Linked DNA regions of Alligator mississippiensis. The protein of the gene in region 1 purifies or fractionates together with the protein of each later gene. This does not show direct contact. Links are inferred from orthologs where the notes say so. Each region holds a gene or a part of one and is shown on either strand. Other genes may lie near its edges.

The links. Proteins that work in one complex are often made in the same cells at the same time.
Region 2: the proteins of NES (region 1) and VIM purify together in Homo sapiens (affinity purification with mass spectrometry; 3 studies listed by BioGRID and IntAct, counting the BioPlex papers as one, with this or other methods). This does not show direct contact. The link is inferred for Alligator mississippiensis from reciprocal best matches to the Homo sapiens genes NES and VIM.

The regions. Positions count from the first base shown.
Region 1 is NC_081838.1:16,776,629-16,780,372, forward strand, and holds the start of NES (nestin), read right to left. Parts: upstream 2,298-3,744; 5' UTR 2,205-2,297; coding exon 1,392-2,204; intron 1-1,391. UniProt on the Homo sapiens protein: Required for brain and eye development.
Region 2 is NC_081828.1:181,333,427-181,337,170, reverse strand, and holds the start of VIM (vimentin), read right to left. Parts: upstream 2,938-3,744; 5' UTR 2,892-2,937; coding exon 2,329-2,891; intron 1,462-2,328; coding exon 1,401-1,461; intron 1-1,400. UniProt on the Homo sapiens protein: Vimentins are class-III intermediate filaments found in various non-epithelial cells, especially mesenchymal cells. Vimentin is attached to the nucleus, endoplasmic reticulum, and mitochondria, either laterally or terminally.

The DNA.
Region 1 (3,744 bases):
GAGTGCAAGGATCTGGACCAGCACCATTGATGGGTGGAGGGTTTGACTCTGGATTTGCAGTATCCAAACGGGCATTCAAACTGGGCCCGAAGCAAAATTCTCCTTCTTCAAGAGCTCTGAACTGGAGCCCTGGTTGCAACTCACCCATGGGTCCAACCCCCTCCAGGGCCAAATCCCTCCCTGCTTTACACTCCAGATTGACACAGAGTCTAAGAGACTTCTGAAGCCTGCACCCGCTCCGAACATGGTCAAGGCCAGAATGGGTCAGGGCAGCTGTGGAGCTGTCTTCACCCCACAAGCAGGTCACGGAGGGAGGACTTTTATCTTCCAGACTGAAGAACTCTCCTGTTTCCAGAAGCCTGGAAAGGTTTTTGTCTCTTCTAAGGGAGACAGAAAGACAGAGTGCATGGGACAGACAGCCAGATCCAGCACATGTTGTGAATACAAGGTCATCAGCTCACCCAGGCTGGTCAGAGACTCAGGGGATGTCCCCACTCCACGTCAAGATGCCTGATCCAAGATTTTAAATCACGGAGCTTCTGAAGCGGGGGGTGGGGAATCTCTATCATGAGCCTGCTTCTGCAGATGGAGAAACTGAGGCACAGAGAGGGGAAGGGACCCAGAAGCAGGCATAGGACCTGGCAGCCCTGGCTCTCATGCCCTCATGTAGGCACAGAAATGCTCCTACCCACTGGGGCTGGTGGGTTTGCAGAGAGGAAAGGGCATGCCTGATGGAGGTAGAAGCCAGGCGTCTTGGCACCCACTCTCCCCAGCCCTAAGCACCACAGCATGTCAGGAGGAGAGGATGGGGACATGTCCCTCACCCTTTCCTCAGGGCTTGGGACAGACGCCTTCCCTGCTGTCATGCCAGGGACAAGCCCAACCCTCTCCACCAGACCCAGCCCAGCTCCTGGCAGACCTCATGCTGCTGTCTCCCACAGCCCTTCTCTGCACCTGCCCGGGCTGGAAATCCTCTTTTTTTTTTAAAGAAATGTTTCATGTTCCAAGCCAAATCAAGTCCAAATCCATGAGTCAGTCCAGACCCATAAGTGGCCCTGCAACTGGCAAACATCCTCAACCCCCACCAAAAATCCTCTTTCCTGCATGCAGGTAAGCCTGGCCCATCTGCAGAGAGAACCCAGGAGCCCTTCCCCTGTCCCTCTGGATTTAACCACCAAAGCCAGGCAGAAAACCCAGGAGTCCTGCTCCCCCTCCCACGCTCCACATCTGTCTCTCCGGGTACAGTCTTGAACCCTGGAGTCCTGGGCCCCGGTCTCCCAGCTCTAACCACTAGGCATGCTGCTTCCCAGGGACAGGACAAGGATGCTAGTCTGGTTCCCAGTCCTGTGTGCCCATCTGCATGCCCTCCCCTCCATGGCCTTTGGACCCACCTGAAACTTCTCCGCCTCCCCCCTCTGCTCCTGCCACTGCTGGGAGAGGTTCTCCTCCAGCATCTCCTTCCTCGCCTTGAGCCCGGCCAGGTCCTTCTCCAGCTGCTGCAGCTGCAGCTGGTTCTGCCGGTTGCCCTCCACCGCCTGCCACAGGCTCTCCTTGGCTTGGCCCAGGGTGCTCTCCAGCTGGGCCACCTCACTCTTGTAGGTCTCCACGGCTCCTTTCCAGATCTCGGCCAGCCTCTTGGAGTAGTCTTCAACCTCCAGGGGCTGGAAGGCAGCCGATGGAGCCCGGAAGCTCTCCAGGCTACAGGAGAAGCGGGCGACCTCCTGGTCCAGCTGGGCTCTGTCCTCCTCGTGTATCTCCATCAGTGCCTCCACTTCCTTCTCCAGTTGAGCAGCCCTCTCCTTCAGCCAGATCTGGGCTCTCCTCTCCTCTTCCAGCTCCTTCTTGCTCAGCCCCAGTTGCCTCTTGGCTTCATCCCGGGCGGCCCGTTCCCTCTCGCACCTGCTCCTCACCTGCTCCACCTCCTCGTACAGGTTGTCCCGGGCCAGCTCTGCCAGGCACTTCTCCTTGAAGGCATCATCCAAGGTAGCCCTCAGGGCTCTCAGCTCTTCCTCGTACCTGCTCCTCCAGGACCTCTCGGCCGGGCTGCTCTTAGCTCTCTGGATCTCTGCTCTCAGCACCTCGTTTTCCTCTTCCAGGAACTTCACCCGGGCTAGGTAGGCTTCCAGGCGCTTGTTGAGGTCCCACATCTGGAGGGACTCTTTCTCCAGGGCACGTGCCCCCAGCAAGCCCTCCATGCTCAACATCGCTGGACGACCGTGGTCCGTGGATGGGCAGAGAGAGGGGAAGCGTGGTCCAGAGGGGGAGAGGGAGCAAGTGGCCGGGAAACAGCCCAGCGCAGCTATTCATACTCCGGTGGGCGGAGTAGGAGGCCCCGGACAGCGAGTGAGGGCTTTAACTCTTCCGTGCCTTGGGGCGGTGGCAGCCTGGACGTGCTCCAGGCCAGTTCCTCACCCGTGCTCGAGAAAACTGCCCGGTGCCAGACCCAGCTATTTTTGGCTGGACTTGGGCCAAAGATAGAAGAGCTTCATCTGTGCACCAAGCGGGGCTTGCCCAGCTGCAAGAGCTTTGCAAGGATGCTCTCCCAGTCACATCCTGAGGGGTGGGGAGGCAGGGAGGGGGCTGCAGACTGGAAATCAGGACACCTGGGCTTTCTTCCAACCTCCAGCAGTGGGACATGGGGAAAGTCCCCTTCTGAGCTTCTCTTATTATTTGGGGTGGGGGGGTAGGGTGTTGACTGCAAGGTTTCTGGATAGGGTACACAGCCTCCAAGTGATGGAGCCTGGGCCTGCTGTGGGACTCAGAGGCATGGAGGCAATGCAAATAGATCTGATGAATAAAGGGGTTAATAAGGAATGCCCTTCCCCCCCCCCCCCCCCCCCCCCGCCCCCAGGGCAGCAGCCTGACCACTTGGTGCCCTCCAGCAGCCCCCAATGGAGACAGCAGTGTTAAGGCGGGTGCAAGTGTTAAGGCGGGTGCAAGTGTTAAGTTGTGTTAAGAAGGATCTTGTCCCTGGGGGCTGGGCTGAGAACGTGCCAAACTTGTTGCACAGAAAGCAGCAAGAAGCATGCAACTGGCAGGAAATAGCAGGAGGCATGTGTGTGTGTGTTGGGGGGTTACACATGCACATACGCACGTGCGCACACACACACATGCACACACAGCTGTTTCTAACTTTCATGCCAAGAAAGATCCAGGGACCCTGCTACCCTGGGAGCTGTATCTCTTGCAAGCTGCTTGCACTAGGATGCTGCTGTTTTGGTGCTGGCTTCTCCCTGGTCCAGTTGAGGAAGCAAAGCAGGCAGGGCCCTGCACTCCCAGCCAGCCTCTGCCATGCCTCTTGGTGGTGAAGCACAGCCAGCCCTGCAGTAAAAAAAGACAGACAAACAGACGTCCCGTTAATTGTGTGAGCTCATCCCATCCTAGCAGTCCCCCAGATGCAAACCCCTCTCCTTCCTCTGCTGGTGGCAGCCACATTTAAGCTGTGGATGGATGGGAAGTGACATTAGTCTTGAACCTTTTTTTTTTTTTTTTTTGGGGGGGGGGGGGTCATTTAAACAAAATGGGTTTGGGGCAACTGCCAAGCAAAAACTGTCAGGGATAAGCCTGTGCTTTTACGCCAGAAGGGCATGCAGCTGGCCAGAATATTCCAGGCTTTGTTTAATCTTCTGTCTGTCTATCTATCAGTCTGTAGGTCTGTCCATCAATCTATCTGTCTGTCAGTCAGTTGATATCTATCTATCTATCTATCTGTCTGTCTGTCTGTCTGTCTATCTATCTATCTAT
Region 2 (3,744 bases), on another chromosome or scaffold:
CTTCTTTAGGAAGTCATGTAAAGAAGGTAAGCACTTTCATCTTAAATTAACTAAATTTAAAATAACCACCAGAAAGGCTGAGCTTGCAAGCCACTATTTGCAAGCTTGCTACTTGGAAATACCTGCACTATTTGAAAAGTTCAATATTGTAGGTCAATTAAAGGTTAGTTTCTTGCTAAAGTAATTAAAAGGTATCCAGGTAACCCTCATTATTTCACTCTGAAGCTTAGCTGACTACCTCCTGTCTCAGACCCCCAGCTCCCCCACACCATCTTTGAGAACCTCTACATTAAATAGAAAATCCAGTTTCAACACCGTAACCAGTTAGTCTGCTCTTGATATTATAACCCTTCCCTTAAAAAAAAAAAAACACAAAAAAAAAACCCCCCAAGATTGTGAAGCAGATAGGAAATTTTAATTTGGAACAAAAGCTTTGGAAGTTTGAAATGAGGTCAGTCAAGTCTTCTGAAGGAGTCCTGTATTATATACTTTGAGACTGGGAAACAGAAAATAGTTGATGCCTCTAAAATATGCTTGCATCATTACACATCCGATAAGAATGCAGCCTGTTGAAAGTCCCCCTGAATACAAAGACTTCTATTATTTCAATCTGCTGCCACTACACTTGCCATAATGCCTGCATCTGCATTCCATGGTGAATCCCATAGAAACCATTAATACCCTTCAGCCAAGCAAGCAGATGGTTCCCTTTCACCCTTATTGGATCAGAAAGTGATTCCACATCAGGGCACTTTTGTAAGATAGGCTAGACTTGGATAAAGCAAAAAAACAAAACAATACAATAGTTTCTCCCCTCCCCCTGAGACAACAGCATCGGCCCAAAGAAAACAAGCAGAATCTACATGATTACTGACAGAATTCCTCTGTGCGTTAACAAAAGCCTCTACAAAGTCCTGGGATCTCATTTATACACTAACATTTCACCTATGATACATCAGGCATGCCATACCTAGTCATGCAGATGACTTCTACTAATCCAATTTATTTAATAAAAAAAACAACCAAAACAACCCCCCCCACTCAATTTAATTAAGCTGTATCATTTGCAAAATATTCCAAAATAACCCCTACATACTTTTTTTTTTTAAATAACCTTGCAAGTTTATTATTGTATAACTGAGTTTTAACCCTAAAAGCATGTTGGCATCCTGGATTAAAAAAAAAAAATTAACCAAAAATTCCCCCAAAAACGCTCTAAGACTAAACAAAAAAATCCATATGAACGTCTACAGCTTTTCCAGTCTGCTTTTTTACCACTAGGTGGCTTTTCATCCAACTTATGTATTATGCAAGCTTTATACACTTCAATTTAGGTTGGCTGGGCCCCGCATTTAAGTGAAAAGAGAAGGGAAAAAAGCAAACAAACAAGAGAGACAAACCTGTCTGAAAGACTGTAGGGTGGTTTCAGCTTCTTCTCGCTGCTCCATCTCATCTTGCAACCTGAAAGCAGGAACATAAACAAGGGGTAAAGCCATGCAAGGAGGAAGCCACCAGCCCCTGGTGTAAAACCTGAGTGGAGCCACACCCATTCAGAGGGAGAGATGGAGCATTTGCTAAGAAGCATCCCATGCCTACACTGCCCTGGGGGGCAGAGCCTTTCCAAGTCAGCCTGACTAGGCTTTTCATGCTTCCAGTTGACACAACTGTCCCAAAACCAGACATGAGCATCACAACTCATTCAAGGGATGCAACAAGTGGCTGACTCCAAGTTGGGCTGCTTGAAAGCTGCCTTCTGCAGAAACCCAAGCTGTGGAGGAGCGACTTTCCTTTGGTAAAGGAAGGAAACAGACTAGCCTGCCCATCCGCCCAAGCCTCCCCCTTCAGGGTGGGGCTGAAGACCCAAGATCTGGTGCCCCAGGTCTCACCCCACAGCCCTAGGGAAACCTCTCTCTGGAGGCCGGGCTACAGTCACAGAACATTAGAGTTGAAAGGGACCTCAGGGTTTCATAACCCGTGGGTTGCAACCCAGCAAGAATATATGAAAGGGTCAGGCGTAAACTTTAAAAATGGGTTCTTTTAAAGGAGAAAACGTGTGAAACCACAACTTCTCCCTCCAGGCTGGCAGAACTGTGGGGCTAGGGCAGAAGGTCAGGGGCGAGGGGCAGCGGGTCGGGACTGGCCACCCGCGCCCTTGTACAAGAGGATGAGAAGCGCTGATCTAGTGCAGCCCCCTGCTGCGTAGCCAGGGGCAAGGATGGAGACCCCAGAACCGCTCCAGCGCTTTCCCCCACCCTCCTGGGGAGAAAGTTTTCCTGTTGTCCAAGCTCAGCTCCCCTCCCGCCCTGCCCCGGCCCCCCGGGCACTTACTTCTCGCGGAGCTTCATGATGTCGTCGGCCAGGTTGTCGCGCTCCACCTCGACGCGGGCCTTGTCGTTGGTGAGCTCGTCCACCTGGCGGCGCAGCTCGCGCATTTCCTCCTCGTAGAGATCGCCCAAGCGGGACGTGCCCTTGCCCTTGAGCTGCTCGAGCTCGGCCACCAGGATCTTGTTCTGCTGCTCCAGGAAGCGCACCTTGTCGATGTAGTTGGCGAAGCGGTCGTTGAGCTCCTGCAGCTCCACCTTCTCGTTGGTGCGGTTCGCCTTGAACTCCGTGTTGATGGCGTCGGCCAGCGAGAAGTCCACTGTGTCGTGCAGCATGCGCGCGGGCGGCAGGCTGCTCCGCAGCCGCACCGACGTGCTCCTGGTGGCGTAGCCGCCGGGCGTGGACGAGAGGCGCACGCCGGCGCTGGGCCGGGCGCTGCCCAGCGAGTAGCGGCTGGACGACGTGACATAGCGGGTGCCGCCGCTGGAGCTGGAGCGGGCGCTGCCGCCGCCTCCGCCGCCACCAAACATCCTGCGGTACGAGGAGCCCTTGGTCGTGGTGAAGCTCATGGCTGCGGCGTCGGGCGAGCCTAGCGGTTCGAGCGCAGAGAGCGGGGCGCTCGGCGCGGCGCGGGCTTTATAGCCTGCCACGCCCTGCCCGCTGCCAGCCAATCGGCGGCGCCGGGCGGGGCGGGGCGGGGCGGGGCGCGGGAGGGGGGGCCTGGCTCGGGACGTGGCGGTCGGGGGAGACCCCGGCCCCGCCCGGCCCGGCCCGGCGGGACTTCGCGCCTTTTGGCTGGCGCGGCGGAGCCCATCCGCCCGCGCCCCGCGGCTGCTCGGGCGGCGGCGCTTTGCCGGGCAGGGGGCGCCGCATCCCCGCTCGCAGCCCGCCCTGCTCGGCGCGGCCCCGCCGGCGCCGGGGCAGAGGCACACGGCGCTGCCCGCGCGCGTCCCCGGAGACATGAAAGCTGCTGGAAGGGTTGGGCGTAGCCGCGCTGGTCTAACGGCACTGGCAGACAAGTCCTTTGGGTAAATCCGGTATCTTTTATTAGCCCGACTCAAATAGTTGGAAAAAATCTTGGGAAGAAGAATCTTTCCAACTATTTGAGTTGGTCTAATAAAAGATATCGGATTTACCCAAAGGACCTTGTCTGCTTGAAGCCTTGCCCTTCCTTTCCCCCTGCGGTTGCTTATTCCGCAAGGTAGAGGCTGAACGCCCCGGAGGGTATGGCCTCAGCTGCGCGAAAGGGCCGTGGGCCCCAGGCTGAGCAGTGAAAAGCGTCGCTTCTCTGGCGCCGTTTCTCCCAGGGCTGAAGCGCAGAGACCTCAAGCAGAAACTGCTCTTCAGCGCGGTTTTCCCCTGAGCTGGGTGAAGGAACAGGGTGGATTTGCTAGGGCCTGGCAAGGTGCAAATGCAGGTTTT